Rattus norvegicus: one gene and its partners. The protein of the gene in region 1 interacts with the protein of each later gene in a pairwise test. Links are inferred from orthologs where the notes say so. Each region holds a gene or a part of one and is shown in the gene's direction. Other genes may lie near its edges. The genes, in order: Meox2, Pak1ip1, Unc45a, Csf2, Sdcbp, Gpatch2l and Fkbp6.

Region 1 (4,244 bases):
GACAATAAACATATGGCAGTTAACCGTAGTGGCACGCCCAAGCCCTGAACACAGTAGGCTACTGCAGACATCCTCCTTGTAGACACTTCACAGACAGGACCCACTTTCCTGCAGCTCATTCTCCAAAGCTTGTTGTGGGTTAAAGAGAGGACCTCTAGTAGACTCTGTGGCAGGTCAAGCAAGCTAAAGGCTGTGTCAACCGCAACCCGGCTCTCACAAATTCACCAGTGGGCAAGTTTCGTAGTTCACTTCCAGGAGCCCAGGCTGTAAACCTGGGGGAAATGAACCATCATAGCAGGGTCGACTCTGAGGAAATGTTGAGTTTGCTATCTGCTTAAAACAGAGAGGTGGCAAGGAACGAACGGAATGTATGCAAAGAGGAGCACTGTAAGCTAAAAAAAGAAATTTCATTTCTCAACGGATGGGGGACGGGGTGGTGTGTGTGTGAATTGGCTCCTGTAGGGTTAGACTAGAAAGGGTGAAGCTGGGAGCAACTTATACTTGCTCAATTGATGTTTCTTAGGGTTGTTCCTGACCCAGAAAACTTTCCCAGTGAGCGAGTGTTGAGGAAATTGAACAAACTGGGTTGTTAAAGAGACATAGGGCTGGGAGGACACGGTCAGAAACAGAAGAAAGGGGGACACCACTTGGAGTGGCACATAAATATGTGCCACCAAGGCACCAGAACTTGCATCCATCTCTGCTTAAGGCACACCCCACTGGCTACCTCTCCATTCCGCACTCAGAGTAGCTCTGTGCTATCCTTGGTGCTCAGCCCTACAACCTCCTCTCTGGTGCGGGTTTTCTAACAATCTATCCTAAAACACCTAAAAGGGAAAAATATAATGTGCCCCTGAATGCGGGAAGTGCGAGTGGTCTTGGAGTTTGAAAAGCTAGACTGCTTCGCTCTTTTCCTTCTCTTGAACTCTAATAAGTTCTCTGTGATCTGAAAAGTCAGAGAGCGCCTGTAGGTGACTGCAACCCCCACCAAGGCTGGGAAATCTAGGTTCCAAGAACAGTGAGCGAGCACAGACACGGGGTGCTGGCTTAGCATAGTCGAGTGCTTCTGTGTCTGGCCACGGGAATCTATGGGATAGATCGCGGTGGTGTCCCTGAGCTACTGAGGCTCTGGGCGCTCCACTAACTGTTGTGGAAGCTCCCAGGACCCGACGGGCGTGGGGCAGCCGCTCCTGTCCTGCCAGCAATTGGGAACTGGAAATGAGAGAGTACGGTGGCGCTGACTGAGCGGGAGTTTTGGAGGGAGTTTGCATGTGGTCAGCGCTGGGCTCCTAAGCCAGCCCCCAGCTCACATTACACTCTATTTATAACCTCTCAGAGCCATTTCCCCCCCTGAAAGCAGTTCTCTGGGACCACCTTCTTTTGGCTTCCACCTCTCCCACACTTGACATCTGAGCAGCTGCAAGGGAAGCTCCTCCAGGTCCTAGTGTTTATACGTGCAGGAGACTGGCCGCTCGGCTCAGGACTGGGATTAGCGGGCTCTGCTCAAACCCGCGCGGCTTTTACATTAGGAGTGAGTGGGGGAGAGTCCTAGGATTTCTAGTGAAAAGTGACAGCGCTTGGTGGACTTTGGGACCTTCGTGAAGTCTTCTGCTTGGAAGCTGAGACTTGCATGCCATGGAACACCCCCTCTTTGGCTGCCTGCGCAGCCCCCACGCCACAGCGCAAGGCTTGCACCCCTTCTCGCAGTCTTCTCTGGCCCTCCATGGAAGATCTGACCACATGTCCTACCCCGAACTCTCCACATCTTCCTCGTCTTGCATAATCGCGGGATACCCCAATGAGGAGGGCATGTTTGCCAGCCAGCATCACAGGGGGCACCACCACCACCACCACCACCACCATCACCACCACCAGCAGCAGCAGCACCAGGCTCTGCAAAGCAACTGGCACCTCCCGCAGATGTCCTCCCCGCCAAGCGCGGCCCGGCACAGCCTTTGCCTGCAGCCTGATTCCGGAGGGCCCCCGGAGCTGGGGAGCAGCCCTCCGGTCCTGTGCTCCAACTCTTCTAGCCTGGGCTCCAGCACCCCGACCGGAGCCGCGTGCGCACCAGGGGATTATGGCCGTCAAGCGCTGTCACCCGCAGAAGTGGAGAAGAGAAGTGGCAGCAAAAGAAAAAGCGACAGTTCAGGTGAGTGTCGGCAAAACAATCCTGGGGAGAGTGCGCTCTGGGCTAGGAAGATGCAGGGGAGGTAGGGATGGTTCTTGTAGAAAGACAAACTAAGAAGCAGCTAGCGTTTCCTCTCTCTGGTGGCCGAATTCATCTATGCAGGGTCGGCCCTGTAATTCAGGAGCACGTGTTTCACTGAAGTTAATATATCTACATCCAGCCGTTCAAAGCCCCCCAAGATCGCAAATCAGTTTTCCAGAAGCGTTGAAGAAAGAGCAAGTGACACTATGCGAAATCGGTTAAGGAGCGTGGCGGTCCATCCACTGGTTGGGCGGGGTGTGCTCTTTGGGATGCTGCATCCTCTGGGCGTGCGTGCATGTCTCTGTGTGTGCGTGCATGCGGTTCTCTTTGACTTTTTCTTTCCAATTCCCAACTCTGAACAGCTAGACTTTTCCTATCATTAGCTTGGTTTCCACATTATTGCACAATATCTTGAACTTTAACTGGATTTGACAAAATACGCAAAAATAGAAAAGAAAAAAGAAAAAAAAAGAAAGAAAAAGAAACCCAAAACTTTTTATTTACATTTTATTTTCAGAGTTCCTTAAATAGCATTTACTTAAAATGATATTTAAAAAGCATTCTATTCATTTGGCGAAAAAGACATTATCCAGTAATCTAGAAGTGTTTAAGGAATACATCTGAAAATTGCGAATAAATAGATAAGGGCTTGACGAAAGGGTATTCTTATAGTGATTACACTCATGTGGTGCTAACATAGGATAAAACAAAACAAGCAAAAAAAAATCAATCAGCCAACTAAAGGAAACAAAACTTTTGAATTTCAAGAGTGGAAAATAAAAGCCTTCACCAATTGAGTACTGCTTGGAGGTGCAGCGAAGAGAGCTGACAGACAACAGCTCTGACAGCGCTGGAAGAAGATACAGAGAAAGTGTGGGTAACCTGAGCAGCCCAACAAAAGGGGAGCCTCCCAGAAGAATTCAGGGGCCTGAAAGTTCAATAGCCAGTACATCCCGGCAGCCCAGTAAAACTGAAAATTTCCAGGAAGCACAACAAAGCCCTTAACTATATTCCTCATTGTAAAGATGTTTACTTTCTTCCTTTCTTCTTTCCTTCCTACCTATCTTTCCTCTTTCCGTTTTCCCTTCTTTCTTTCTGTTCTTTCTTTCTTCCATTGAATCTTCCCTGTAGTTACAAGGCAACCTGGATACAGATTTTGGAAGACATCACTTAACTAGCACAGTGTTTGCATTTATTTAATTTTCTGTGTTAGCGACTTGAAAGTTAGAACATACAATTTGAGGCATTAGTTTGAAGAATTGAAAAAAAATCGCATTTGCAGTGTAGGACAGTAAGGGCTGTGTATTTTGTAAGGGGTTGAAAGATGATAGAAACTTTTCTTGACCCCAGTGTGGGCTGACTGCTTCCTTCCCAGCCGCGTTGAACCTGCGATTTTCTAGGTCCAGGGTGAACTTTTAATGCTCCATCATGATTAGTTATGTCTAAGAATGTTACCACACTGTCATTTTGTTTAGCGGTTATTGCTGAATGTGCGTGAAATCCTAAGACACTGAGAAGGTTCCTAAGAAGGCATTAGAATCCGCTGGGTTTCCTCAGATTGGGCTTCATGAGCACAAATGCTCCATTTGCTTCTGCAGGTTGGTAGTTACCTCAGGAAGGACCAGAAGCCCCATTCCCTGTTTTCTTTCTGCAAGGGGGAAACTGACCTACTTCTGAGCTGAACCAATGCCCTAAAGATTATTTGCGCACACGAAGGAATTTTTGTTCAGGCACAAGTTATTTTTGGGTGGGGAAACAGGGAAAGTGAGATGCCAAGCTCTTCCCAATTTGTTTTACTATTTAATATAACGGTCTTAATTCAACGTTATTTAATATAATGGTCTTAATACTGACTAGCAGTGGTTTTCATCACCTTTACCAGGGGCAAGTAAGCACACAGCAACGCCAAGCTTGTTTTAGCATGGTGAAACTCGTTTAAACACCAAAACAAGTAAAGAGAATAAACATTTGTGCCAACCACCCAGTGTATTAATACGTTACAAAGATGGGAAATATAATCAATAGGAAGGATAAT
Region 2 (4,232 bases), on another chromosome or scaffold:
AAATAAAGCACAGGACTCTGAAACAGTTTTACTCATCCCCATTTTTTGGAAATGATACTATTGCATTAAAAATTGAGTATGAGCGCCCTGGGTTTGGTCCCCAGCTCCGAAAAAAAAAACTGAGTATGAGCTAACGTAAACTGTATCACACCACGGGTAGGACAATAATCAGACCTCTTTGTTCCAAGCTAAGGAGACATATTCCAACTTTAGTAATTCTCTGGAGAAAATAATTAACTAACATGCTCAGGGTTACTAGCAGTAACTGTACACAAATTAATTAATACAAGGGTTTCCACTGGACTGGGGGCTTGCAAGTGGAATAGCCCAAACTAGAAGAACACCGCCCTTCCCATAATTGAAAAATCTTCAGAACATCCAAAGTGAAATTATTTCCCTCAGACTCGAACAAAACCGGCCGTCAGAGAACAAGTGTTTGAGAATAAAGTCTCAGTAAGTACTTAAGGACTCCATTAACTCGACACATACCTGTGTCAAGATCTGACATAATCACCCGCTATGACGTATGCACTTTTGACATCCTCAGAAAACTCATCCCTGACCCTTCCTAAAATGTATGGAAACCTCGAAGTTAAAAAAAAAAAAAGATGTTGCTTTCATTAACTTTTGCACTTTGCCCCTTAATATAGGTGACGTACACTAGAGGAAATGCGAGTCTTCCATTTCGAACCCTACTGTCCTCCTCTCTGAAGACAATCTTTTTCCCCCGTGGCTCAGAGCGTGTCCTAACGCGGGCCAGTTTGATTAGATCGGAGAAGCCAGCAGGCAAGAAGGGCTGAGGAGATGGACCGCTTGGCCTGCGGGCGGGACACGGACTGGCAGGATCGGGCTCTCAGTCCAGCGAGGGGACACTGCCAGCTCTGGTTCCAGCGAGCCCTGATCGTCCCCGGGCCGACCCGACAGAGAAGCCCCTAATCTGCTCTCTACACTAAAAGGAAACCCTTCGCTTGTGACCCAAGCCATGGGGTGGCTGCAGGCGCTGACCTGGGCGACGAAGCGAGAGACCGCCTCTTAATAGTAAGAAAATTACAATCGAAGGAAACCTAACTCTAGACTCCTAATCCGCTGCCACACTCCAGGAACTACGAAGGGAGTTTCAACAACCGCAACCTCCGAGGCCGGAAGTGGATCCGCCCCTTCCTTAGGCGCACCGGAAATTGGTGCTTGAGCGGAGTCTGTCCCGCCCACTCCCCAAGGCTGGCGGAGCTCACGGCTTCCATGGATTTGCCTGCTTGCTACAACTTTTTTCTCTGCTCTGCAATCCTCCTCCTGCGGCTTCATTCCTCCAGCTTGTCGTAGAAGGGCCACGTGACATTCGAGAGCGTACTCCGTTATTGCCATCTGCAGGCGCCTAAAAGGTGCCCCCTGATGGATGACGTATAATTTGCGCGCCGACTTCCGAAAGGCGGTCCTCCGCTTCCATTGGGTTCCCACGCCGGCTTCTCCGGCAAGGCACGTGTGCTGCTGAATGGAGCTGGTCGCTGGCAGCTACGAGCAGGTCCTCTTTGGGTTTACAGTGCACCGCGGGCCCGCGAAGAGTGGCCACCGGGAGGTGAGGCACCGCGAGTCCGGGGCTGCGGGGGACCGGCGGGCTGATTCCTCCCCGCCAGAACCGTGGCGTCTGTCGTTTATTGCTGGGTCCCCGTGGAGGACTTGTTGGAAAACGGACAGGTTTATGCAGATAATCCTAGCTCTGGAGAGGCTGAGACAGAAGGATAGTGAGCTCAGAGCTTGGGTAGAAGGATCCTGCTCTTTATAGAGTAGAGGCTTTTCAGAATGAGATAATATTCACTTGTTAAAGTAGATAAAATGTCCACAGAAGGAAACGAAAAATGTTCATGTCGATGGGGGGAGTAGATGAATGGTTGACAGAGGAGGTTGGGGCCAACTTACAGAAATGAAGTTTGGTGGGAGGACTGTTTTGGGGTGTTTTGTGTTTTTGCCTTGAAAGGTAACTATAGTCGACAGCAATTAATCGTATATTTTAAAGTAGTTACTGGAGAGTATTTTGAACTCAAAGACATAGTTCATCGTTGAGGGCATAGGTTGTCTTTTTCATACCTGATCTATGTGTGCATTGAAATCCCATTGTGCTCCATAAATATATACAGTTATATGGTAATTAAAAAGAAAAAAACTTAAAGTATTCTCAAGGCATGAAAAACTGGCAATTTTATAACATACATGAAAAATAAGGTGTGCATTTAAACTGACAATTACTATAGTTCTTCAAGTTCTAATGTAAAAATACCTTTACCTTTCACTGAGTTTCAATCCTGGTTAACAAACTTCAATAGAGCTGGTGAGATGGCTCAGCGGTTTAAGCGCTGGCTGTTCTTCCAGATCTGGTTTAATTTCCAGTCACCTACAGTGGCAGCTCACAACTGTAACCAACGGATCTGATACCCTCATACAGACATCTATACAGTCAAAACACCAATTACATAAAATAAAAGTTACATATAAAAGAAGTATTCCAACTGGATTGGGAGGAAGAAAGTGATGCAGACTTACTATTTACTGTGGGCAGGGGGAAATGTGCCAGAGCTGTGGATCCTGCTCTTGTAGCCTTCTTGGTCGAAGGAATGGCGAGCAAAAGAAATACAGGGAGGTAAAATGTAGCACAGTAAGAAATGTATTTTTGTCAGGTATGAAAATAAGATACAGTAAATTGCCAACATAATAGTCAAATAGAAAACAGGATTAGAAGTGTCACCTAGCAGGGCCCCACCCTTAATCCCAGCACTTAAACCCGGCAGAGGCAGGGGGATCTCCAGGCAAGGATGGTTTACACAGGGAAATTCTGTCTCAAAAACAAAACAAAACAAAACAACTCAAAAAACAAAAAATACCCAAACAAGCAAAAAAGAAAAAACAAATGTGATCCCTTAATACTCTAATGATTATTTCTTGAACAGTTGTACTTATCACCTACAAATCTTTTGTTGAGAATTCTTTTTTTTTTGTTGTTGTTGTTGTTGAGCTGGGGACCGAATCCAGGGCCTTGCGCTTCCTAGGCAAGCGCTCTACCACTGAGCTAAATCCCCAACCCTGAGAATTCTTTAGTGTGTGTTGTGGGTTTCTTGTTGTTGTTCTTGTTCTTGTTAAGTATACTCATTCCAGAAGTACAGCAACCCTGAGACTGATACAGCCATTCTCATCTTATAGATGAACAGTTGGGAGGTTTATAGGGCAAGAGACACTCAAAGCCCATGGTTTATGAATACAACATGTCAAGGTCCTCCAGATGTTTCCCAGGCTTATGTTGTTAACAATTCGGGGTGCTGCTTCTAAACCTAGCCAGTAACCAAGATAACCAATATTATTTATGTAATTTGAACAAACACATGATGTCTTGATATAAAGCTGTACCATGATTGAGTCAGGTGGCTCATGTCTGTAATCAGGAGGCTGAGGCTGGAGGATTCAGAGTTTAAATTTAAGCCAGCTGTCGTGGTACCTGTCTTTAATCCTAGCACTTGGGAGGACAGCCATAGCTACAATATGAGACCCTGGAGAGGGCACATGGGGGGACAAAAGGAAGCCTGCTGTTCCTGAGGAATGAATGGACTACCTGCTCTGTAGTTCTTTAGGACATGATATGTAGTGACTGACTTTAAGCATATGTAAAGAACTTTGCTGGTTTTGCTTTTTGGGTGGGGTTTTTTTTTTTTTCCTTCCCTGGTTTGTTTGGCTAATAAATTTTCCCATGGAGCTCCTTTAATTTGAAGAGCACTGCATTTGTGTGTGCCTTCTTCTGTTCTTTGCACTCATCCAGTCATGGTTCTCAGACCAGAAGTATATAGTAACAAGCATCTGGTCCCCAAGACAAATTACTAGCAGTTCTCTAGGGCTCGTGGTAGTTCTTCTACACACACACACACACTATATATATATAATCCTGTTGTTTTCCTTAAGGGCTTATCATGGTTATCTCTGTATCTTCACATTAACGTGTTTTCTATCTCTTTTCTTAAAGTGAAAGTATTATTTGAACACAGACTTCTCTGTTTATTGTTTTTTCTACTACCCATAGTGGTATCGAGCATATATAATAGAATAGTTACATAGACATAGAGAAAGTGGGCAGTTATTGGAATTAATCTACATAAAAATTGAACATTTGAATAAATTACTGACATGGACGTCTATGGGATCTACGTTACTGGGATCTGGAAGCATGTTCCTGAGTTCATCTCTCCTTACACTCC
Region 3 (3,994 bases), on another chromosome or scaffold:
CATGGGCCTCCAGAGGAATCCAGGGCTTCTGCTGACAGGCCTGTGTGTGGGACTGCTTTTCAGTTGGATGAACCTCGCTCAGCCAACCGACCTCTCAGGTATACTTTCCCTATCCTCTGAGGGTGATTTGGGGAATTGGGAGAGCTGCCAGTGGTGGGTGGAGAGAGCCTCCTCTTCTCTTCTGTTAGGGACTTGGACCCCATTTTGCACTTTGAACAGGGTGCCAGGGATGTGGGTAACCTCCCTTCTCTATAGACGTCTTGCTTCTCTCCAGCACTGGCTCACCACCCCCATTTGTGTCAGACTACACGGGATGCCGAAGGCCGCCACTACCCTGGTTTTTTCTGTCCTCGCCTCTCTGATACTCCCGAGGAAGCCTACTGTTGCCACCTGCAGGCTGCTGGGGGTTCCTGCTGTACCCTGGATGAATTTGAGGCCCTGTACCAAGTAAACTTGTCTACTCTTCAGCCCCCACCCATCCTCAGGTAAGAACTCTAGCCCCCAGATTCACAGAACACTGACAGGGCGCTTCAGTGTTTTGGGCTCTGTCCTTGAATTCTGCGTTGGGAGACTTGTAGCTTCCAGACTAGTGGAGAGGAAGTCACCTAAATCATAATTACAAACAATACTGTAAAAATTGAAAACGAAGTAACGGAAGCTGCTTTATGTCCTAAGGGGTTTGGACGGTGTTAATAAAGAGGATCTTGTAGTCCATGGACACATTGTAGTAGGGGGTTTAATTCTGAATCTAGCCGTGTTCGTCTTCAAGGTATTGCGAGCTCCCAAATTTGTTTGCAAAATATGCGCACATAGTCTATATTTATCCCGCGCTTTCTCGGGACTCTTGGCTCTGTAAACCCTGACTTGTACAGTGCAGCCAGTGTACAATTTTGATTCTCTCCTCTCTCCCTAGAGGCCCAGGCCCGCTCTTAGCACTGGGCATCTACAGTCTACTGTTGATGGCATTGATGACTGCAGATTTCGTGCACTTCTGCCGTGGTCCGGGACGGAGAGAAAGGCAAAACTCCCGCGGCCGCCGCCTTTCCTTTCGGGCCTCTGCCGCGCGCCCCCTACAGGTCCCAGTGGGAACAGACTAAGACGCTCGGGAAGCATCCTTGACCGTGCGCCTGCGCCCGCGCCTGCGCAACGCGGCCGAGTACCCTGCCCTTGCAACCTCTTCTTGGCCTCGCCTTCTTTGGCGTAACCCTGACGCATTGCTGGGGCGGGGCAGTCACCGGCATCTTCCGGAGCCCAGGGCTACCTTAGCTCCAGTGACTGTGCCTGCACCGGCTCTTGGAGCTCAGCTTCGTGATGACTGTGAGTGGTCCGGGGACCCCCGAGCCCCGACCTTCCGACCCCGGGGTGCGTACTGATTCTCCTGCGACATCTCCCCTTCGCACATGCGCCTTCGTACCTGGACTCCGTCACTTCTTTCTAGCCCTATATGGGACTCTGCCCGGACCCGGCTCCTCTTCCAACCGCGCTGCTCTGCTCACCGTCTTTCTCTCCATAGGCCAGCTCAGCCGAGGAGCTGCGGAAGGAGGGCAACGAGCTGTTCAAATGCGGGGATTACGAGGGCGCCTTGACCGCCTACACCCAGGCCCTGAGTCTTGGCGCGACACCCCAGGACCAGGCTATTTTGCACCGAAACCGGGCTGCTTGCCACCTCAAGCTGGTGAGGGGGTCGGGTTGCTCTAACCTGGTTCTACCTGTGCCTGGGATTGTCCATAGCCGCTGCTGTGCGCAGCAGCTGGGCATTTTCTAGCCACCCACAATTGCCAGTGGTCTTTAGGCATGGGTGGTGAGGGATCAGGTGGCTCAGTAAAACAGGGGTGTCGTTGCCACTCGATTAGTTCCTCTCAGGCTCCTGATCTTTCTTACAGGAAGATTACAGCAAAGCAGAATCAGAGGCATCTAAAGGTAGGGGGGTGTGGGCCCTCGTACGGAGCAATGGGTTTTCTGTGGTGGGCAAGGACTCTGGGACCACCGAGCCATCCCTTTCTCCTCCTTTGGTCCCAGACACTCGTCTTTCTACTTGCTTTCCCACTTCTTCGGCCTTTCCTTTTCTGCAGCTGCCCTCACCTTTTCTGAGGCTGAAGCACAGAGCTCCACATTCGTACCCCTATCTTCCTTTGGCCCTCAAGATCTATCCTTACTGCTCTTGCCTGGAGACGGTGGCCTCATGGGTGCTGATAGAGCTCCTGTTTGTGCTCAGCCATTGAAAAGGACGGTGGGGATGTCAAAGCACTTTATCGACGAAGCCAAGCCCTAGAGAAGCTGGGCCGCCTGGACCAGGCTGTCCTTGACCTGAAGAGATGTGTGAGCCTAGAACCCAAGAACAAAGTTTTCCAGGAGTCCCTGAGGAACATTGGGGGCCAGATTCAGGAGAAGGTATGTGAAGAGCCAAGAGAAGTTGGGGACTTCCTGGGTCTGGGTCAAGGATATAGACACAGTGCTCCAGACGGGAGCTACTGGTAACAAACACACATTAATAATGCTTGAAGTGGGGGCTGGGGATTTAGCTCAGTGGTAGAGCACTTACCTAGGAAGCGCAAGGCCCTGGGTTCGGTCCCCAGCTCCGAAAAAAAGAACCAAAAAAATAATAATAATAATGCTTGAAGTGTGGTTCTTCGGTGTATGTATACGTTTGTACTTGGCAAAGAATGAGGCAGGTAGGTGGTGTGGATGTGGGTGTGTGGGCTCTTACAGTACCTGGGGAAAGTAGGAATTGATTTGGCTCCATAAGGCCGAAGTACATTAGCATATCAAAGCTGTAAAGAAACAGGTGATGATCTAGTTAGCCTTAGACTCACTACGTGGCCAAAGCTGGCCTCGAACCCCTGATTCTCTTGCTTCCAAAAACATTTTTATTTTTACTTTTTTTAGACAGGGTTTCACGCAACCTAGGCTAGTCCTGGACTTGCTGCATGGCTGTGGATGGCCTTAACTTCCTACCTACACCTCCCAAGTGTTGGAGTTTCAGATGTCTGACTTTTTTTTTTTTTTTTCCTTCGGAGCTGGGGACCGAACCCAGGGCCTTGCGCTTCCTAGGCAAGTGCTCTACCACTGAGCCAAATCCCCAACCCCCAGATGTCTGACTTTTATTTCAGTTTTGTTTATAGTAAGAGAGACTTGGGACTTGCCTGTATACTCAGCAAGGAGAGAACAAAACTAAACAGACTAGGTCAGTGCTGTTTCTGAGAAATGATCGTGTGTGACCAGACAGGGCTCTGCTGATTGGTAAACGGAAAAGCAAGATATGTGGTATTACATATAGGAACGCACTCTGTCGCTGACTTAAGGACCCAAATAATATGTCATGTCTGGGAACATTTGGGTGCATCTGTGTAAGTCCGATGAAAAATACTAACATTTTACAATAAAAGCCGGGCGGTGGTGCACACCTTTAATCCCAGCACTTGGGAGGCAGAGGCAAGCAGACCTCTGGGTTAAAGGCCAGCCTGGTCTACAGAATGAGTTCCAGGACAGCCAGAGCTACATAGTGAGACTCTGACTTAAAAAAACAAACAATAAAAATAAAGGCCTGTTAAAAATGTACACCAGGCCAGTGGGGTGGTACACACCTTTAATATCCCAGAGGCAGAGAAAGGCAGATGTCTGTGAATTTGAGACCAGCCTGATTTACAAAGTGCATTCTAGGGCAGCCAGGACTGTTTCACAGAGAAACCCTGTTGTGAAAAAAAACCAACAACAAACTGTCCACTAAAGGCCAAACCTGGTGGGTGGTGCATACCTTTAATCACAGCACTCAGGAGCAGAAGCAGACAGATCTTTGTGAGTTCAAGACCAGCCTGGGCTACATTTAAAAAAAAAGAAAAGTGTGTGTGTGTGTGTGTGTGTGTGTGTGTGTGTGTTTATTAAAATGGTTCAAGACCAGCCTGGGCTGTATTTTAAAAAACAAGAAAAAAGAGAATGAGTGTTTGTATGTGTGTGTTGTGTTTATGAAAATGGTAATATTAGAAGAATGGGGTTA
Region 4 (3,884 bases), on another chromosome or scaffold:
ATAAAAGTAAGTGTGGCTCACGTTAGATGCACCCTTAGGTAAAACCCCCTCCACCCTGGCATGTTCCTGTGAGTACACATATATCCAACATCACCAGCATACACACGTGACTAAAGAGATACACATATGTATCCCCATGGCCTCAAACTTCCTGTACAGGAAGGCTTGGGCCGGATCCCTTGTGCAAACACAAACTCGTGCCGTCTTCTCCAAAAGCCCTTGTGAAAATCAAACACTTGTTAGCTCCTTGAGAGCACACAGCTTTTCCAAAAGCAGTTCCTGATTCCAGAGCGCTTCTGGAGCGGGAGGTGGGCTGGAGCAAGAGGCTGTGCAGTAAACTAAGCCTGGGAGAACTTGCTAGAGAAGTTGGGGGGCCCTGTGCTTGGTACCAGCCAGCTACTGTGTTACAGCTAGCCTCAGAGACCCCAGGTGCCCACTAGTGGTACAGATAGCAGTAATATGTCCTCTTTGGATGGTAGGCTGCTCTGGAGAGGGTAAAGAGGCTCGCATAGCTCAAAGGAAGAGTCACTTGGCAAGGGGGGTCCTGCAGAATCAGCAGTTAAACTGGGGTTGCCTTACCTGCCCCAGTCAGAAGCTCTAGCCATGCTATGAGCTTTTAAGATCGAACATGCCTTTGTAAATGGGATTTGTAACTGGGATTGTAGCAGTCAGTTGGGATGGTACCATAAGAGAACATGGTGTAGTCTGCCTGGCTTCCATACCCATTGCTGCCATTCCTACTTCTCCCGAGGTGGCAGGGGGTGGGGCTTGGCTGGGCTGTTTGCCCATGGCTCTGTTTCCTCAGTGGGAGTCTGTGGAGGCCATTATAGAATTGTGCCATTGGGCTGGACCTTGTCTAATTAGATAATGAGACGGACATGTGGGGAGTACACATCTCTGAAGAAGGCTGGAAAGAGAACGGGCTAGGGCTGGGGCTGGAATGAGCCATTGGAGTGGGTACAGCTTGCCCAAAGGCCTCCAGGAACAGCAGGTGCTGTGGAAGCAAGAGCCCCACTCAGTATCTCCCAAACCCCGCCCCAGCCACTCCAGGCCAGGAAGTCCAAATATGCCTGGAGGCCCCTCAAAAAGGAGAGGCTAGCCGGAGGCTTGGTTAGACTGCCCAGGCAGGGTGGGAGAGGCCCTTAAAGAAACCCACAGGTGGGCTGCCAGTTCTTGGAAGGACTTATTAATGAAAACCCCCCAAGCCTGACAACCTGGGGGAAGGCTCACCGGCCCCATGTATAGCTGATAAGGGCCAGGAGATTCCACAACTCAGGTAGTTCCCCCGCCCCCCTGGAGTTCTGTGGTCACCATTAATCATTTCCTCTAACTGTGTATATAAGAGCTCTTTTGCAGTGAGCCCAGTACTCAGAGAGAAAGGCTAAGGTCCTGAGGAGGATGTGGCTGCAGAATTTACTTTTCCTGGGCATTGTGGTCTACAGTTTCTCAGCACCCACCCGCTCGCCCAACCCTGTCACCCGGCCCTGGAAGCATGTAGATGCCATCAAAGAAGCTCTGAGCCTCCTAAATGACATGCGTGCTCTGGAGGTGAGTGAGGGAGAGTTGGGCTGTTCTCAGGCCACCAGTTGGCTCTTGTCTTTTCCTGCCTGTCAGCTTGGTAACACAGCACTTCCCTTTTACAGAACGAAAAGAACGAAGACGTAGACATCATCTCTAATGAGTTCTCCATCCAGGTAAGCTGCTTCTCTTCTGTGTAGCTTCACAGGCTGCTTTAAATAGCCCTTTGCATGGCTTTCTACACTCTTCCCTGTCAGTGGCTGCTATGGGGAGGGTGCAGAGTCTGGGTAGTCAAGATCTCCATACCCAATCCTCTGCAGCAGTCAGGTGCACTCTTTTATCGTCCACAGCCATGCCCCTGTGGCAGTCATGTGCACTCTTTTATCAAGTGAGCAATAAGTTTGGGCAGAGCTAGCTTTCAAAGGTCGGAGATCTTCAGGGTTTATGGGAACGTGAGAGTTACTTTATGAGTTGACCTTGTTGCCTTGGGGTTCCCACTGCGCCCTATGACCATGGAAAGAGGGTGTTGACCATAGAGGGGCACAGAGGGCCTTCTGAAACAATGCTTGCCCACACAGAGGTTTGGGGGATATCCTCCGCTCTGGCCACCCCCTTCTCCTACAGCAAGCACCTTTCTCTTACAGAATTGGGGGGTCGGGGTGGGGGAGTCTTGGAACTGGGAACCTCTTGAGGTACCAGGCTATAAACGTGGCTGTGCTGGCTGAGGGTGGCCTGGGCCAGGCTGGGAGAAGGGCAGCGGTCAGGACAGTGTTATGACTAGCCCCAGCCTGTGCCACTTGGTGGGAATAGAAGGGAGTGGGGAGAATATAGCTTGTATTCGGTGGGTGCTCGGCCTTTGCTTACCAACAAATGGATGCTTTTCACAGAGGCCGACATGTGTGCAGACCCGCCTGAAGCTATACAAGCAGGGTCTACGGGGCAACCTCACCAAACTCAATGGCGCCTTGACCATGATAGCCAGCCACTACCAGACGAACTGCCCTCCAACCCCGGTGAGTACACAACGTCAGGGCCCAAGGTCTCAGTCTGGGAGGGCGGGGCCAGTAAGGAGAGATTTCTGACTGTAGCTGTTCAGGGTCCCAGTAAGTGGCTTCCATGTTGTTAGATGTATCACAGGAGCCCCTCAAGAACAGGCCATAGCTCCTACTCATCCCCAGATGCTAAGCTGAGGAACAGCAGAGAGCCCACTGCTCTCCCCAGGAGGAGCTACCTGCCCATGCCATACATGCCATTATCAGTCATGAGGTCAGAGGTGAGGCAAACCCAAGGAAGCTCAGGGCCTGCCCAAGCCCTGAAGAGCCAAGAGCCAGCACCCAGGTGCCACTTCCTGGCAGGACTTTCCTGTGGAGGTGCCTGTATTCCACGGACACAGGGAGGAGGCTCCAAGAATGGGCAGACACCCCAAACATTCCTATTTTCTTTCCTCATCGAAGACAGTGAACCCTGTGACCTTAGAGCTGAGGAGATGCCTTAGGCTGGCCGCTTGCCTCTCAGCAGAGTCTGTCCAACCAATCTGAAGACCTGAGACAGTCCTCCTGTTAGGGAACAGTCTCTGGATACCATTGCCTTAGGCAGCACATGGGCAGCTATAGCGTCATCTGATCCTTTCGAATGGGCTTCTGGCCTCTGAGTTCATAGCAGCAACAGAGAAATACACAGGCTACTTCCCCAAGTCACCACTCACCTGGACTCAAGTGCTGTTTTTTTTTTTTCCCCATCCCCTTCAGGAAACTGACTGTGAAATAGAAGTCACCACCTTTGAGGATTTCATAAAGAACCTTAAAGGCTTTCTGTTTGATATCCCTTTTGACTGCTGGAAGCCGGTCCAGAAATGAGGAGGCCCAGGCCAGCTCTGGATCCACTTTCTCAGATTGCACTTTTGTGCCTGCGTAATGAGCCAGGAATTCAGGATTTCTGCCTTAAAGGGACCAAGATGGGAACACAGCCACAGTGGGGGGCAGTATAGCCCTCTGAAACCACGGACTCCGACAGGACAGCGGAAGACAAAGGAGAGATATTTTCTACTGATAGGGAAAAGTAATATTTATTTATATATTTATATTTTTAAAACAACTATTTATTTATTTATTTATTTAATTTTGTAACTATTTATTGAGGATGTCTTACAAGAATAATAAACTATTAAAACTTTTGTTTGTACAGCTATCTGGTTTATTTTTAAGAGGGGCATAGATGGAGTTGGGGGGGGTCTATTGGGTTGGGGTATTGATCAATGCTGTCATGACCAAAGGGAGGTGAGATCAAGGCCTGGGTCCAGCATTGGCCTGGGTGTGGGGTCTCACATGCCTTGGCGGACCTTCTGGGGTGAGCAAGAGCTTCTGCTC
Region 5 (3,508 bases), on another chromosome or scaffold:
TCCTCCTGCTGAGACTGTATAGAGAGAGTTTACATAAGATCACACTGTACTAGCTTTTTGTCTCTGACATATTTCCTCTAGTATAATGTCTTCCAGGGTCAATCTTACTGTTCCAATGCCAATGTTTTTATGGCTTTAGTAATAAGCCATTGTGCATTTACAGACAACACTTTCTTTATTTAGTCCTCTGTTGACAGACACTAGTGTTTCTCAGCTTTGACCACAGTGATGAATGCTGCAGTGAACACGGGAAGGCGGGTGTCATTGGCATGGAGGGATTTTATTTCCCTTTTGGTATATACCTGCAAGGGAGATTGTCTGACTGTATGGCACATGCGTTTTTCACATGAGGCTCCTTGTTACTATTTCATAATGGTTATTCCAGATATGTTCACTGTCTGACAGTACACAGGAGTTTACGAGCACTTCTGTCTTTTTGATAGGTAATATTTGCTGTGGGGTCTGCTTGAATCCAACATGGATCCAATGTGACAAACACCAGGTTAATGCAGATGACAAAAGTTATTATAATCAAGCCACTACTCGTCAAATAGACTTACGGGCTGAACTATGACCCTGAAAGGATGCTCTATGACATAAAGGATGAAACCATAAAGCAAGGGTAGTGGGGTGGGTTGTACTATTGTCCAATTATATTTCCACATAAGGGGTTGAGCAAGGGAGTTTTCACCAATTGGAGGAAGTTCCTGGGTCTGGGAACATGAACATAGTTTGACGCTGCTAGCAAGATGGAGTGTTGTCCTTAGATGGCTGGACTCATTCAGCTGTTTCCTTATAGTAGAAGCTGCTCAGCTCAGGAAAAGTCCCCAGCTCCCCTAGGGCTGGGACCTTAAATGTAGTTTCTCCCTAGGATTAACTGGAGTCTGAAAACGAAGTGGTGGGACTTAGTTAGGTTCTTTTGCTTGTTCCCAGCACACTGACACATGAGGTGGTGATGTCACTGACACATGAGGTGGTGATGTCACTGTCACATAAGGTGGTGATGTCACTGACACATGAGGTGGTGAGGTCACTGACACATGAGGTGGTGATGTCACTGTCACATGAGGTGGTGATGTCACTGACACATGAGGTGGTGATGTCACTGTCACATGAGGTGGTGATGTCACTGACACATGAGGTGGTGATGTCACTGACACATGAGGTGGTGATGTCACTGTCACATGAGGTGGTGATGTCACTGACACATGAGGTGGTGATGTCACTGTCACATGAGGTGGTGATGTCACTGACACATGAGGTGGTGATGTCACTGACACATGAGGTGGTGATGTCACTGACACATGAGGTGGTGATGTCACTGACACATGAGGTGGTGATGTCACTGACACATGAGGTGGTGATGTCACTGACACATGAGGTGGTGATGTCATTGTTCTGGCTTTGACTTTTTTAACGATAAATGATCTGTCACACCCGTTTGTTATCTTTGGGAAAAGGTTGTATGTAGGCATTTTGCCCATTCTTGAGTTTGCTTTTTCCGCTGTTGAGTTTTGAGTTAATTATTCCTTGGGATATTTGCCCCTTACTGCATGATGATTTTCCAGTCACTTCTCCCATTCTGTGGGCTCTCAGTTTGGTGAATGCTTCTTTGGTTGTGAAGGGCTGGTTGTGAAGAGCTTTTTTGTTTGTTTTGAGATAGGTCTTGAGGCTGGCCTCAAACCTGATCCACCTACCTCTGGGTGTGCACCGTCCTGCCCCACTCCAGCTGTGAAGACTCTGGTTTTGCTGTAGCTCCGCTTCTGCACTTCTGCTTATGCCTCTAGTGTGAAGATTAAAAAAGGCACTGCTAAGATCCGTGTCGGAGATCGAGCTTGCGTTTTCTCCTAGTTGTTTGTGTTCCGCAGATCTTAGCTGTGGCTTTGCAGTCCCTCTGAAGCTGACGTACCTTCCATATAAGATCAGCCACAGTCCACTGCCCTGCTCTTGGCGCCTTGGTTTTCCTAATCCTGTTTGTGTACAGATGGAGATTTTGTCAAGAGTAGTTTAACATGTTTTTATGTTGTCTCCTTATATCATTCCTGGCTTAAGGCCTTGTTCACATTGAACTTATTTATAAATTGGTAATTTTATGATTACACCACAGAAAATCTTGGAAAATTAATGTTGCAAAAGTCTAGTGTGACGTTTAAGTTCTAGGAAAATATGTTTGAAATAAAGGCAATCCCCAGTGCTGCTGTCAGCCACAGAGTGTCTTCTGAGAAATGACTCATGCATTGCTCTCAGGGGCGCACCAGCTTCATCTAAGTACACTTACCCAGGCTGAGGCCGCATGACCTCGTTGGGCAATGCAGACGTTTGAGACAGCTGTTGTCACTTATGTGGTCTCTGGCAGAGGCACTTCCGAAGTATATGCTGACCCCGAACGCAGGGGTGCCAGCTGACAAGTCACTGAGTCTTATCTTCCCAAGGTTATGGGGGAGTAAATTACCAAAAGAATGAGGAGATAAAAGCACTGTCATTATTGTGGGAGCAGACTCGACCTGAGGAAAGTTATTAATGAGCGATATTTGTAAGAACTCCTGAGGGAAGTTATTAATGAGCGATAGTTGTAAGAACTATAACTGAATGTGTTTCAGTTAGTTGCTGTGTTTCTAAATACTGTCAAATTTTGTATTTTCTTAGCAGTTGGTAGCAAGGCCATCCAGTGTGAACTACATGGTAGCACCTGTGACAGGTAACGATGCGGGGATTAGGAGAGCAGAGATTAAGCAAGGGATTCGGGAAGTCATTTTGTGTAAGGATCAAGATGGAAAAATTGGGCTCAGACTGAAGTCAGTAGATAATGTAAGTATTTATATTTTTGAATTTATCTAAATAGGTCTCAGAATATTAATGTCAAACATTGAAATGAAAACAGTTTGGCTAGTCATAACCACCCATCTACAATGGGAATATTATGTATCTAGAGTTTTTACGTGGGACACCCGCTTAAAGAAGCCGTGCTGGCACTTGCAAGCAGATCCCACAGTTTTCTTCTGAATTTCTTTACTGAGACGAGTGCTGTCACTGGGTTTATATAATCATATGAAAGCATGCGTGTGATAGAATTCTGGGCTTCACATAGGGCAGCATATGTGAGAGTAAAGGAAGAGTGGACCAGTGAGAATTGGGTGCACATTTTTAAACTAAGTGATAATTACTTATGAGGTGGTTCTGCAAGTTTGTTATTTCTGTTCATAAAATTTGAACCATTATCCTCCTGGATTCTGTTGCAGTCTAACTGTTCCTTAGCTTCAGTGAGTCCATCTTTCCACATAGAAAATAAGCGTATCACAGTATTCAACTGAATGAGGCTGATGTAGGCAGGAAAGACGAACACTACCTTTCCACTCAAAAGGCTGAGGGCATGATTGTGTGTAGCCCTCTGTCCATGCTTCAGATCCGTCATTGTGCTCGTAAAGCCCTGGCCTCACTGAAGCTCAAGTGTGGTATAGTTCAGCAGAGGTGCCTTAGCACCGTTCTAGTTTACTGCTTGGCACAGGTC
Region 6 (4,266 bases), about 52 Mb from region 1:
CTGTTATGTCTAATGCAGCCTGAGTCAGAGCTGACCATCAGGCAGCCCTTCCTGCACCTGTGATTGAGTTCACTATGGTTTTTGTGACTGACACTAAAAAAATGCTACTAATAAGCCAAAAGTTATGATTATCATACTTATGCTCTGTTATCACAGTGTTGTGAAATTCCACCCATCCACCTCCCCTTATCTTGCTCAGAACCAGTCAGCTTAAAGGTTATCTGATAATGCAGTACTTAGTAAGCCAACTGCTCCTCTCCTTGCTTTTTAAACTTTTGAACTTAGTTCTGACTCTGATACCACAGTCCTTTTTTGGGGCCTGAACATCCAGTATTGCTTAACTGAAACCAGTGTTTGTTTTGAGTGGCGATTCCTGAACCCAACACAAACCAAGCTGGGGAGGAAAGGGTTTATTTGGTTTATACTTTCACAGAATTGTTCATCATTAGCAGAAATCAGGATAGGAACTCAAATAGAGCAGGAACATGGAGGCAGGAGCTGGTGCAGAGGCCGTGGAGTGATGCTACTTACAGGCTTGCTCCTCATGGCTTGTTTAGCTTGCTTTCTTACAGAACCCAGGACCACCAGCCCAGAGATGGCAGCATCTACAATGGGCTGGGCCCTCCCCCACCAATCACTAATTAAGAAATGTCCTACAGACTTGCCTGCAGCCCTATCTAATGGATTCATTTTCTTAATGAACTTAATGAACAAGGAACTCCCTCAATATAGAAAGACATTCCATACATTCTGTGTGTGACATATACAATGCCCTTAACAGTTTTGAGGAATACTGGTGAAGTGTTCTGTAGGCTAGTTCTTAACCATACGTGGTGTAATTTCTTTCGTTTGCTTTTTCGAGACAGGGTTTCTCTGTGTAGTCCTGGTTGTCCTGGAACAAACTCTTTAGACCAGGCTAGCTAGCTTCTCCAGTATAAAGTGACCCCTTTGATATTGCATTATTCAGAGAGAAGCTGCTGTGCACAGTTCAAAATGCTCCAAGAGAGCCTATGTCTTCTACAGGAAATGTATTTCTACGGGAAATGTATCTCTTTTCCACTTACAGAATATGGAATATCAATAACCACTCAATATGGAGTTAATATTTCTTTAATGCTTTGAGTTATAATACAGTATGATTTGCTTTTTGCTCAAGCCATGTACACTTTTAATGTCATGAGTAACTTAATGTGAAGGCAGACGACCCACTTCTTAAGGTCAGCACCCTTAGGGAGAGGTTTTGTCTCATTCAGTCCTAAGGGTATCCTCACCCCATACTAGCCCATCTGTCCTGACTTGCCTCCAGGCACTACTTCCTAGTTTCCCAGAGGCCCCGCCCACCGTGGAGCGGAAGTAGGCGCACCGTAGGGCGGAAGTGCAGGGCGGGCGCCTGTCCTTTCTTGTAGCCCGCCCCCTCCCTTACCATTTCAGCCCCACCTCTTAGGCCCAGACCGGAAATGAGGTCAGAGAGGGAAACCCAGGCTGGGAGCTACGGCCCCGAAGGCGGCGCCGGGTGCAAGCGACTGCGGCAGCCGGTGAGGAGCAGGATGGCGGCGGCTGGGCCAATGCCGGGCGGGATAAGGGCTCCGGGTTGCGTCAGGGCGACCGACGGCGCCGCTGGGCTGTGGCGAGTGACAGAGGGTGGCGGGGCCTGGCTACCCTAGGTGCGTCTTCTCAGCCTGGGCTCTGAGGGACGGCCGCCTCCGTGGGAATGTCCCTTAGATGGGCGACAGCGAGAACTCAGGCTTGGTGTCCCGGGCAAGGGTTTCCCTAGCCCCCGAGGACGGGCTGGAAATGGAAGAGAGTCCTTCAAAACGCGGCTTTTTTTCATATCCGTGGTGGTGCTGTGATACCTCTCTCCCCAGCATCAACAGAGGGAATGCAGTCATTAGGACAAGATTTGAGACAGTTTCTGCCCTAGACAGCTGACCTCCAGTCTCAGGTGAACTCAAATAAGAAGTTGACTTCTGTCTACCCCACCTCTCGTTACTCTGACTGGGAGAGTAGCTCGCTGCTTTGCGGCCCACCAGCGTCCTGTGACTCAGACCAGGGTCTCCAGGGTGTACTCTTGAGAGTGAGGCTGGAGGTGTGGGTGTACCAGGGTACCTTTGAGACGCGGAAGAATTCTATGTCAGCTTCTGATGACACGTTGTTTAGTATACTTGTCCCACGTTAAAGTTTGTGCAGTTCTGCCTGAGTTTCAAAGCTGTAATTCTTTATTAGAGACTTAGGCGTGTTGTTCCCACTTGTTTATCAGCTTCGGGCTTAGGGACAGTTGTCTTCCAAACCGCAGTCCTGGCATTTTAAACTACTACCGGTTGCTAAAGGGAAATGGTCTTTTATGTGTAAGGCTTTTGACCCTTTGAGGAAGTTGCCGTGGTGGTTTTGGAGCAAGGTGGCTCTATTGCTCTCACAAGTGTGACACATAATCCAGAAGACTTTTCCTGCTTTTGAATTTGTTGACATAGGGACCCTGTGAGATTAATTTTTAGAAAGCCCCTTGCAAAAAGTAAATTGCATGAAGGGAAATACGGTCTGAGTTCAGCTTTAAGCTCCAATTATGGGCAAGATGTATTTTGAGCTTACCAAGAGCTGGAAAGAAAGTGCTATTTTAGCATACAAAATTTAGGTGTTGTGCAGATGATATTAGACATTTCTTTTTGAAAACCGAAAATTTGAAAATTGCCTCTGCTAGGCATGCCTGGAAAGGGTTGCTTCTGTTAGCCAGGTATCTTAGAGATTTTATGCTGTCCCTCCATTTTGGTTTCATTTATGTCCCAGATTTTGTGTGATTGGCACTAAGCACATAATTGGGGTGACTCAACACTATACTACTAGTACTGTTAGTGTTTCTATTACTACTACTGCTGCCACCACCAGGATGAGGGGTCTAAAAGTCCTACACTGCTGCTCCTGCTACTACTAATATAACAACAACAATACAACAATGCTAGCAACATCAAATCAGTGTCATACTCCACAGCAGTTTGTTTCTAATAACTTTCAGGTGGCAGTTGGTACCATGGTAGTACCAGACGTGGGCTTCCTTTTTTTTCCCCCATTCTGAGTACCTACTTGGGTCACCGAAAGTTCTGGGACTATGAATATCGTGAAGTCTTCTTCATAGGTGCCACTCAGCTCTTTCTCTCCTCCCTACCGCAACCTTTTTAGCAGAAATCCCAGACCTCAGTGTGACCCTCTATCGTGATTGGTTCATGCCTGGTGCTCTCTTGGCTCTACCGTAATGATGAAGTTGTGTGGTTTGCTTTTCTTCTCCAGTGATTAGGCAATCAAGGGATCACTTAATTGGAGAAAGGAGGAAGCTCAATTTGTTTATTTTTGCTAATGTCCTAGTTGTCATCTGGCAAGCTACTGGATATGTTGATTTCCAGTACTCGCCAATGGCCAGACACCTGCTTTTTGTGGTACGTGGATGGTAGAAACGGTAGCTGATGAAAGAAGTCTATTTTCTGTAGCCAGCCAGGGAGCCCAATAGCATTATGTGCTTTATAAGCTTTCTGGAAAAGCAGCAGGTCTTTTAAAGCATCTCTTCTGCTTTTATTTGGCAGATGTGGCCTCATGGATGAGCTGGTGCATGACTTAGCCTCAGCCTTGGAGCAGACATCTGAGCAGAGTAAGCTTGGTGAGCTGTGGGAGGAGATGGCCCTGAGCCCCAGACAGCAGAGGCGGCAGCTTCGGAAGCGCCGAGGCCGGAAGCGCCGTTCCGACTTTACTCACCTGGCTGAGCACGCCTGCTGCTTCAGCGAGGCCTCTGAGTCAAGTCTGGATGAGGCCACCAAGGACTGTCGAGAAGTGGCTCCGCTCACCAACTTCAGTGACTCTGATGACACAGTGGTGGCCAAACGGCACCCAGCTCTCAGTGCCATCGTTAGGGGTAAGCAGCACTCTTGGCATGAATCTGACTCCTTTACGGAAAATGCGCCTTGTCGACCCCTCAGGCGCCGGCGGAAGGTGAAGAGAGTGGCATCCGAGGTGGCTGCCAGCCTTCAGCAGAAGCTGAAAGTGTCAGATTGGAGCTATGAGAGAGGCTGCAGGTTCAAGTCTGCCAAGAAGCAGCGTTTATCCCGATGGAAGGAGAATACTCCCTGGACCTCATCTGGCCATGGGCTGTGTGAATCAGCAGAAAGTCGGACTTTCCTAAGCAAAACAGGAAGGAAAGAAAGGATGGAGTGCGAAGCAGAGGGACAGAAACACGGCTCCGACGAGAACATGTCCGAAAGGTGAGCTCTCCCTCCGTAAAGCCAA
Region 7 (3,508 bases), on another chromosome or scaffold:
CCCTAATGTCTTGTCCTTTCTTCACAGGCTTGCCTCCTCCTGACCGAGTATGAGCAGGCTCGGGACTTTCTAGTGAGAGCTCAGAAGGAGCAGCCCTGTAACCATGACATCAATAATGAGCTGAAGAAGCTGTCCAGGTGAGAGGTGTGACCAGAGGCACAGTGAGACATGGCTGTGAGAATTGCAGTTCACCCAACCAACTGGACGGCAGACAGGCTAGGAATGTTGCCCCAGACTGGCTCAGAGCGGCCATCTCACCTGCCCAGTCCATCACTCATTGCCTTGAGCAGGCTGTTCTGTGTGAGGAAGCCTCACTTCTGAGCATCTCCCTCCTTCCTCTGGTGGCACCTGAAGACCAGCAGATCTCTCCCTACAGAAGCCAGCCCAGGCAACTCTTTGTGTATATTTGCAAGTGCGTGCATGTAGGCCAGAAAACAACCTTGAATGTGTGCCTGGAGTGCAGCAGTTAGACCAGGCTCCTGGCCAGTCTGTAGGTCCTCCTGTCTCTGTCCACTGGTACCCCATTCCCCACCCCACCCCATGCTGGAATTACAGACACATTCCACCTACTGGGCCTGGTTCTTGCATGGTGCTGAGGATCTGAACTTGGGTCCCCCCTTTCCTAACTGAGCTATGCCTCTAGTCCCCATGTACCTTATAAGGTCTCGTGCAAACCATGTGTGGTGAGCCACTCTAGTAGTCCTAGCACCTCGGGTACTGAGGCAGGAAGACCACAAATGCCAGACCTTCTAGGGTCTAAGTAAGGTATCTCCTCCCTTCTAGGTTCAAAAACCTAAAGGTTGGTGAGCCAAGAGTGCATACCATTCTGATCCCTAGGACCCACATAGTAGAAGGAGAAACTGGCCTCCAAATTGTCCTCTGACCTCCAGGCATGTATACACGTACAGGATAAATAAATGTACAAGAAACCTATTTTAGATTCCCCACAACAAAGTAAGTCTGAATATTCAACACTCAGGAGGCAAAGGCAGGTGAACCTCTGAGGTCAAAGCTCCCCTTGTCTACAGAGTGAGTTCTAGGACAGCTAGGGCTGCACCTTGCCTCTAAAATCAAAATTTATTGTAAAGCTGTACTTAAGACTCTACCTGTTCTCAAAATTACCTGAGACCCCTTGTTCCTGAGGAATCTTTCTAGAACCACAAATGAATTGATTCTTTGTGACTCATTCAAGTGAGGAAGACATTAATCTTTTAGAAGTGATCACTAAGGTAGTTCAATGGAGAAGTCTTGTGTTGCCAGGTCTTAGGCCTGAGTGTTCTTTCTGAGGACCCATATGAGAGAAGGAGAAACTGACTTCTACAAGCTGTTCTCTGACTTCACGGACACTTCTCCCCCAACACAGACATTAATAAACGCAATTATAAAAAAGAAAAAGAAAAGCTTTATAAAAAAAAAGTCACCCTTTCTGTTTAGAGAAGCTGTGTTTGTTGTAGAGAACCTGAAAACATCTTCCCATAAGCTCCCGACTAGCCACCATTTTTAACGTGTCTTTTCCTGCCTTGGTGAGTTTCTCTCCTTAAGTAAGGGTAAGCATTCTCTCACCACTGCTGAAGTGTGTGTCGTTTCCAGTTGAGTGCAGCCTCTTTCCTGCTGGCCTTTTTGGGTTCCCAGGGGCTTCCTTCCTGGTATGGGAAGTGTCCTCAGGTTAGATGCCGGGCTGTGGGGCAGTCTGATCCTTGTTTAGGAGGAAAGAGCTCGGAATGAGTTTGACAGCACCGGGAACATGGGACACTTAGCAGGGCTGTGCCCGAGCCCACTCACACTGGCTTTTGCCTTCCCAGCACTGTCTTTCCAAATGATGGCCTTGTATCTAGGACCTTTATCAGTGGCCTTAGCCCCCTCTGTCCTGGCATCTGTCCCCACAGTGTTGTCATTGACTGATAGCCAGTGCTGGCCATTTAGTGGCTGTAACCAGAGAGTTCCAGCCAGCAGATGTCACCTCCTGCAAACGTACAAAGTTGCCTTTCTTTCCACAGCCACTACAGGGACTATGTGGACAGAGAGAGAGAGATGTGTCACCGGATGTTTGCTCCCTGTGGAAGCGGCTCTTCAGTGGGAGGAAACTGAAGGTACCCAGAGGGCTGGGCATTCATGAAAAGATTCAGGGTTCTATCCATTGGGGAAGATGGTCCTCCTCAGCCCGGCTCAGTGACCAGTGGCTTTCTCTACTGAGGAAAGCACAGGACAGAATACACCATGGGGGCTTCCCACAGAGCGGGTCACTGAAGGAGGAACACTTGGAGGTTATATTCGTGTTTGGGAGGTCCCATGCTCTCCCATTCAAAAAACTTTTTCGTGGTTTGTGAAATTAAATTCTTCCTCAAAGTTTCTTGGAACTGAAATTGTTAGTGTGACACTTTAGCTGGGCTTGAGAGAAAAATTGAGTGTCTTTGTTATGAATTTCATGTAGCCTAGGCTGGCCTGGGATTCACTGTGTAGCTTAGAATGACCTTGAATTTCTGTTTTTGTTTTGTTATCCCCTTCCCCCCCTCTCCCATACCCCTTCCCCCTGCTTCTATGAGGGTGCTCCCACTCCCACCCACTCCAACCTCAACGCCTTGGCTTTACCCTACCCTAGGGAAACGAGCCTTCACAGGACCAGGCCTTCTCTTCCAATTGATCCTGGACAAGGCCATCCTCTGCCACATAAGTGGTTGGAGTCATGGGTCCCTCCATGTGTACTCATTAGTTGGTGGTTTAGTCCCTGGGAGCTCTGGTGGAGTCTGGTTGGTTGATATTGTTGTTCTTCCTATGGGGCTGCAAACCCCTTGAGTTCCTTCAGTCCTTTCTTTAGACCTTGGACTTCTGATCCTCCAGACTCTTCCAACTGAATACTAAACTCAGAGACGTGTGCAATCAGTCTGATGAAGGCAGTACTGGGTATGGAGCCCCGGGCCTGTGTGCCCAGGAGGCAGGCACTCTGCTCACCACCCTACATGCTCAGCCTGCTGTTTGTGCATGTGTGTGTGCGCTGAGGGTTGAACACCGCGACCTCACATTTGCCCGCAAAATCTTGGCTTTCCCAACAGTATCTTGTGGGTGAGCAAGCACAGGGAAGAGTGTCCCTACAGCCCAAGAGGACCTTTCAGTCTGCTCTGCTCTTACTTAAGAAAATTAATGGGAACCAATTCACCTGCCTCAAACACCTGTCTGAGGAGGGTGAGAGCCCCACTCTGCTGAGAAGTTAGATAAGGAAGAGGAAGGAAGCAGCTGCTGAGCGGGCCTCTCTGCTAAATCCCACCTTTATTGTCCCTTTGTGTCTGCAGAAACGGCTTGAGAGGAGGGGTCATGAAAGGCCCATTCATCCATGCGCTCTAGCAGGTTCTGAAGTGCTGCTGTCTGCTTGGCAGATGCCCACTATTAGTGCCTTTGCAGGCATGACTTTTTGATCCCATCCTCTGAGTCTTCCAGGGGAACTTCTGAACTAAGCTGCAACCAGAAGACCTCTTGTGATTTGGCTCTTGTCACATTCAGTAGAGATATAAGA

Evidence for each region.
Region 2: the proteins of Meox2 (region 1) and Pak1ip1 interact in a two-hybrid assay, tested with the Homo sapiens proteins (2 studies listed by BioGRID). The two-hybrid records come from large-scale screens. The link is inferred for Rattus norvegicus from reciprocal best matches to the Homo sapiens genes MEOX2 and PAK1IP1.
Region 3: the proteins of Meox2 (region 1) and Unc45a interact in binary tests that used the Homo sapiens proteins (3 or more experiments, as listed by UniProt). The two-hybrid records come from large-scale screens. The link is inferred for Rattus norvegicus from reciprocal best matches to the Homo sapiens genes MEOX2 and UNC45A.
Region 4: the proteins of Meox2 (region 1) and Csf2 interact in binary tests that used the Homo sapiens proteins (3 or more experiments, as listed by UniProt). The two-hybrid records come from large-scale screens. The link is inferred for Rattus norvegicus from reciprocal best matches to the Homo sapiens genes MEOX2 and CSF2.
Region 5: the proteins of Meox2 (region 1) and Sdcbp interact in a two-hybrid assay, tested with the Homo sapiens proteins (2 studies listed by BioGRID and IntAct). The link is inferred for Rattus norvegicus from reciprocal best matches to the Homo sapiens genes MEOX2 and SDCBP.
Region 6: the proteins of Meox2 (region 1) and Gpatch2l interact in binary tests that used the Homo sapiens proteins (3 or more experiments, as listed by UniProt). The two-hybrid records come from large-scale screens. The link is inferred for Rattus norvegicus from reciprocal best matches to the Homo sapiens genes MEOX2 and GPATCH2L.
Region 7: the proteins of Meox2 (region 1) and Fkbp6 interact in binary tests that used the Homo sapiens proteins (3 or more experiments, as listed by UniProt). The two-hybrid records come from large-scale screens. The link is inferred for Rattus norvegicus from reciprocal best matches to the Homo sapiens genes MEOX2 and FKBP6.

The regions. Positions count from the first base shown.
Region 1 is NC_086024.1:59,582,582-59,586,825, forward strand, and holds the start of Meox2 (homeobox protein MOX-2), read left to right. Parts: upstream 1-1,443; 5' UTR 1,444-1,635; coding exon 1,636-2,149; intron 2,150-4,244. UniProt on the Homo sapiens protein: Mesodermal transcription factor that plays a key role in somitogenesis and somitogenesis and limb muscle differentiation. Required during limb development for normal appendicular muscle formation and for the normal regulation of myogenic genes.
Region 2 is NC_086035.1:23,956,254-23,960,485, reverse strand, and holds the start of Pak1ip1 (p21-activated protein kinase-interacting protein 1), read left to right. Parts: upstream 1-1,430; 5' UTR 1,431-1,489; coding exon 1,490-1,573; intron 1,574-4,232. Other genes in the region: C17h6orf52 (putative uncharacterized protein C6orf52 homolog), read right to left, coding at 1,070-1,362. UniProt on the Homo sapiens protein: Negatively regulates the PAK1 kinase. PAK1 is a member of the PAK kinase family, which has been shown to play a positive role in the regulation of signaling pathways involving MAPK8 and RELA.
Region 3 is NC_086019.1:143,703,094-143,707,087, reverse strand, and holds the start of Unc45a (protein unc-45 homolog A), read left to right. Parts: upstream 1-1,187; 5' UTR 1,188-1,311; coding exon 1,312-1,362; intron 1,363-1,513; coding exon 1,514-1,675; intron 1,676-1,883; coding exon 1,884-1,920; intron 1,921-2,072; exon of another isoform or gene 2,073-2,215; coding exon 2,216-2,391; intron 2,392-3,994. Other genes in the region: Shisal3 (protein shisa-like-1a), read left to right, coding at 2-98, 275-485, 914-1,097.
Region 4 is NC_086028.1:38,887,188-38,891,071, reverse strand, and holds Csf2 (granulocyte-macrophage colony-stimulating factor precursor), read left to right. Parts: upstream 1-1,398; coding exon 1,399-1,548; intron 1,549-1,643; coding exon 1,644-1,694; intron 1,695-2,405; coding exon 2,406-2,531; intron 2,532-3,266; coding exon 3,267-3,374; 3' UTR 3,375-3,380; downstream 3,381-3,884. UniProt on the Homo sapiens protein: Cytokine that stimulates the growth and differentiation of hematopoietic precursor cells from various lineages, including granulocytes, macrophages, eosinophils and erythrocytes.
Region 5 is NC_086023.1:24,304,497-24,308,004, forward strand, and holds part of Sdcbp (syntenin-1), read left to right. Parts: exon of another isoform or gene 1-1,237; intron 1,238-1,357; exon of another isoform or gene 1,358-2,165; intron 2,166-2,646; coding exon 2,647-2,808; intron 2,809-3,508. UniProt on the Homo sapiens protein: Multifunctional adapter protein involved in diverse array of functions including trafficking of transmembrane proteins, neuro and immunomodulation, exosome biogenesis, and tumorigenesis.
Region 6 is NC_086024.1:111,612,968-111,617,233, forward strand, and holds the start of Gpatch2l (G patch domain-containing protein 2-like), read left to right. Parts: upstream 1-1,463; 5' UTR 1,464-1,535; exon of another isoform or gene 1,536-3,569; 5' UTR 3,570-3,579; coding exon 3,580-4,241; exon of another isoform or gene 4,242-4,266.
Region 7 is NC_086030.1:26,966,127-26,969,634, forward strand, and holds part of Fkbp6 (inactive peptidyl-prolyl cis-trans isomerase FKBP6), read left to right. Parts: intron 1-27; coding exon 28-137; intron 138-1,997; coding exon 1,998-2,088; 3' UTR 2,089-2,090; intron 2,091-3,287; exon of another isoform or gene 3,288-3,508. UniProt on the Homo sapiens protein: Has an essential role in spermatogenesis. It is required to repress transposable elements and prevent their mobilization, which is essential for the germline integrity.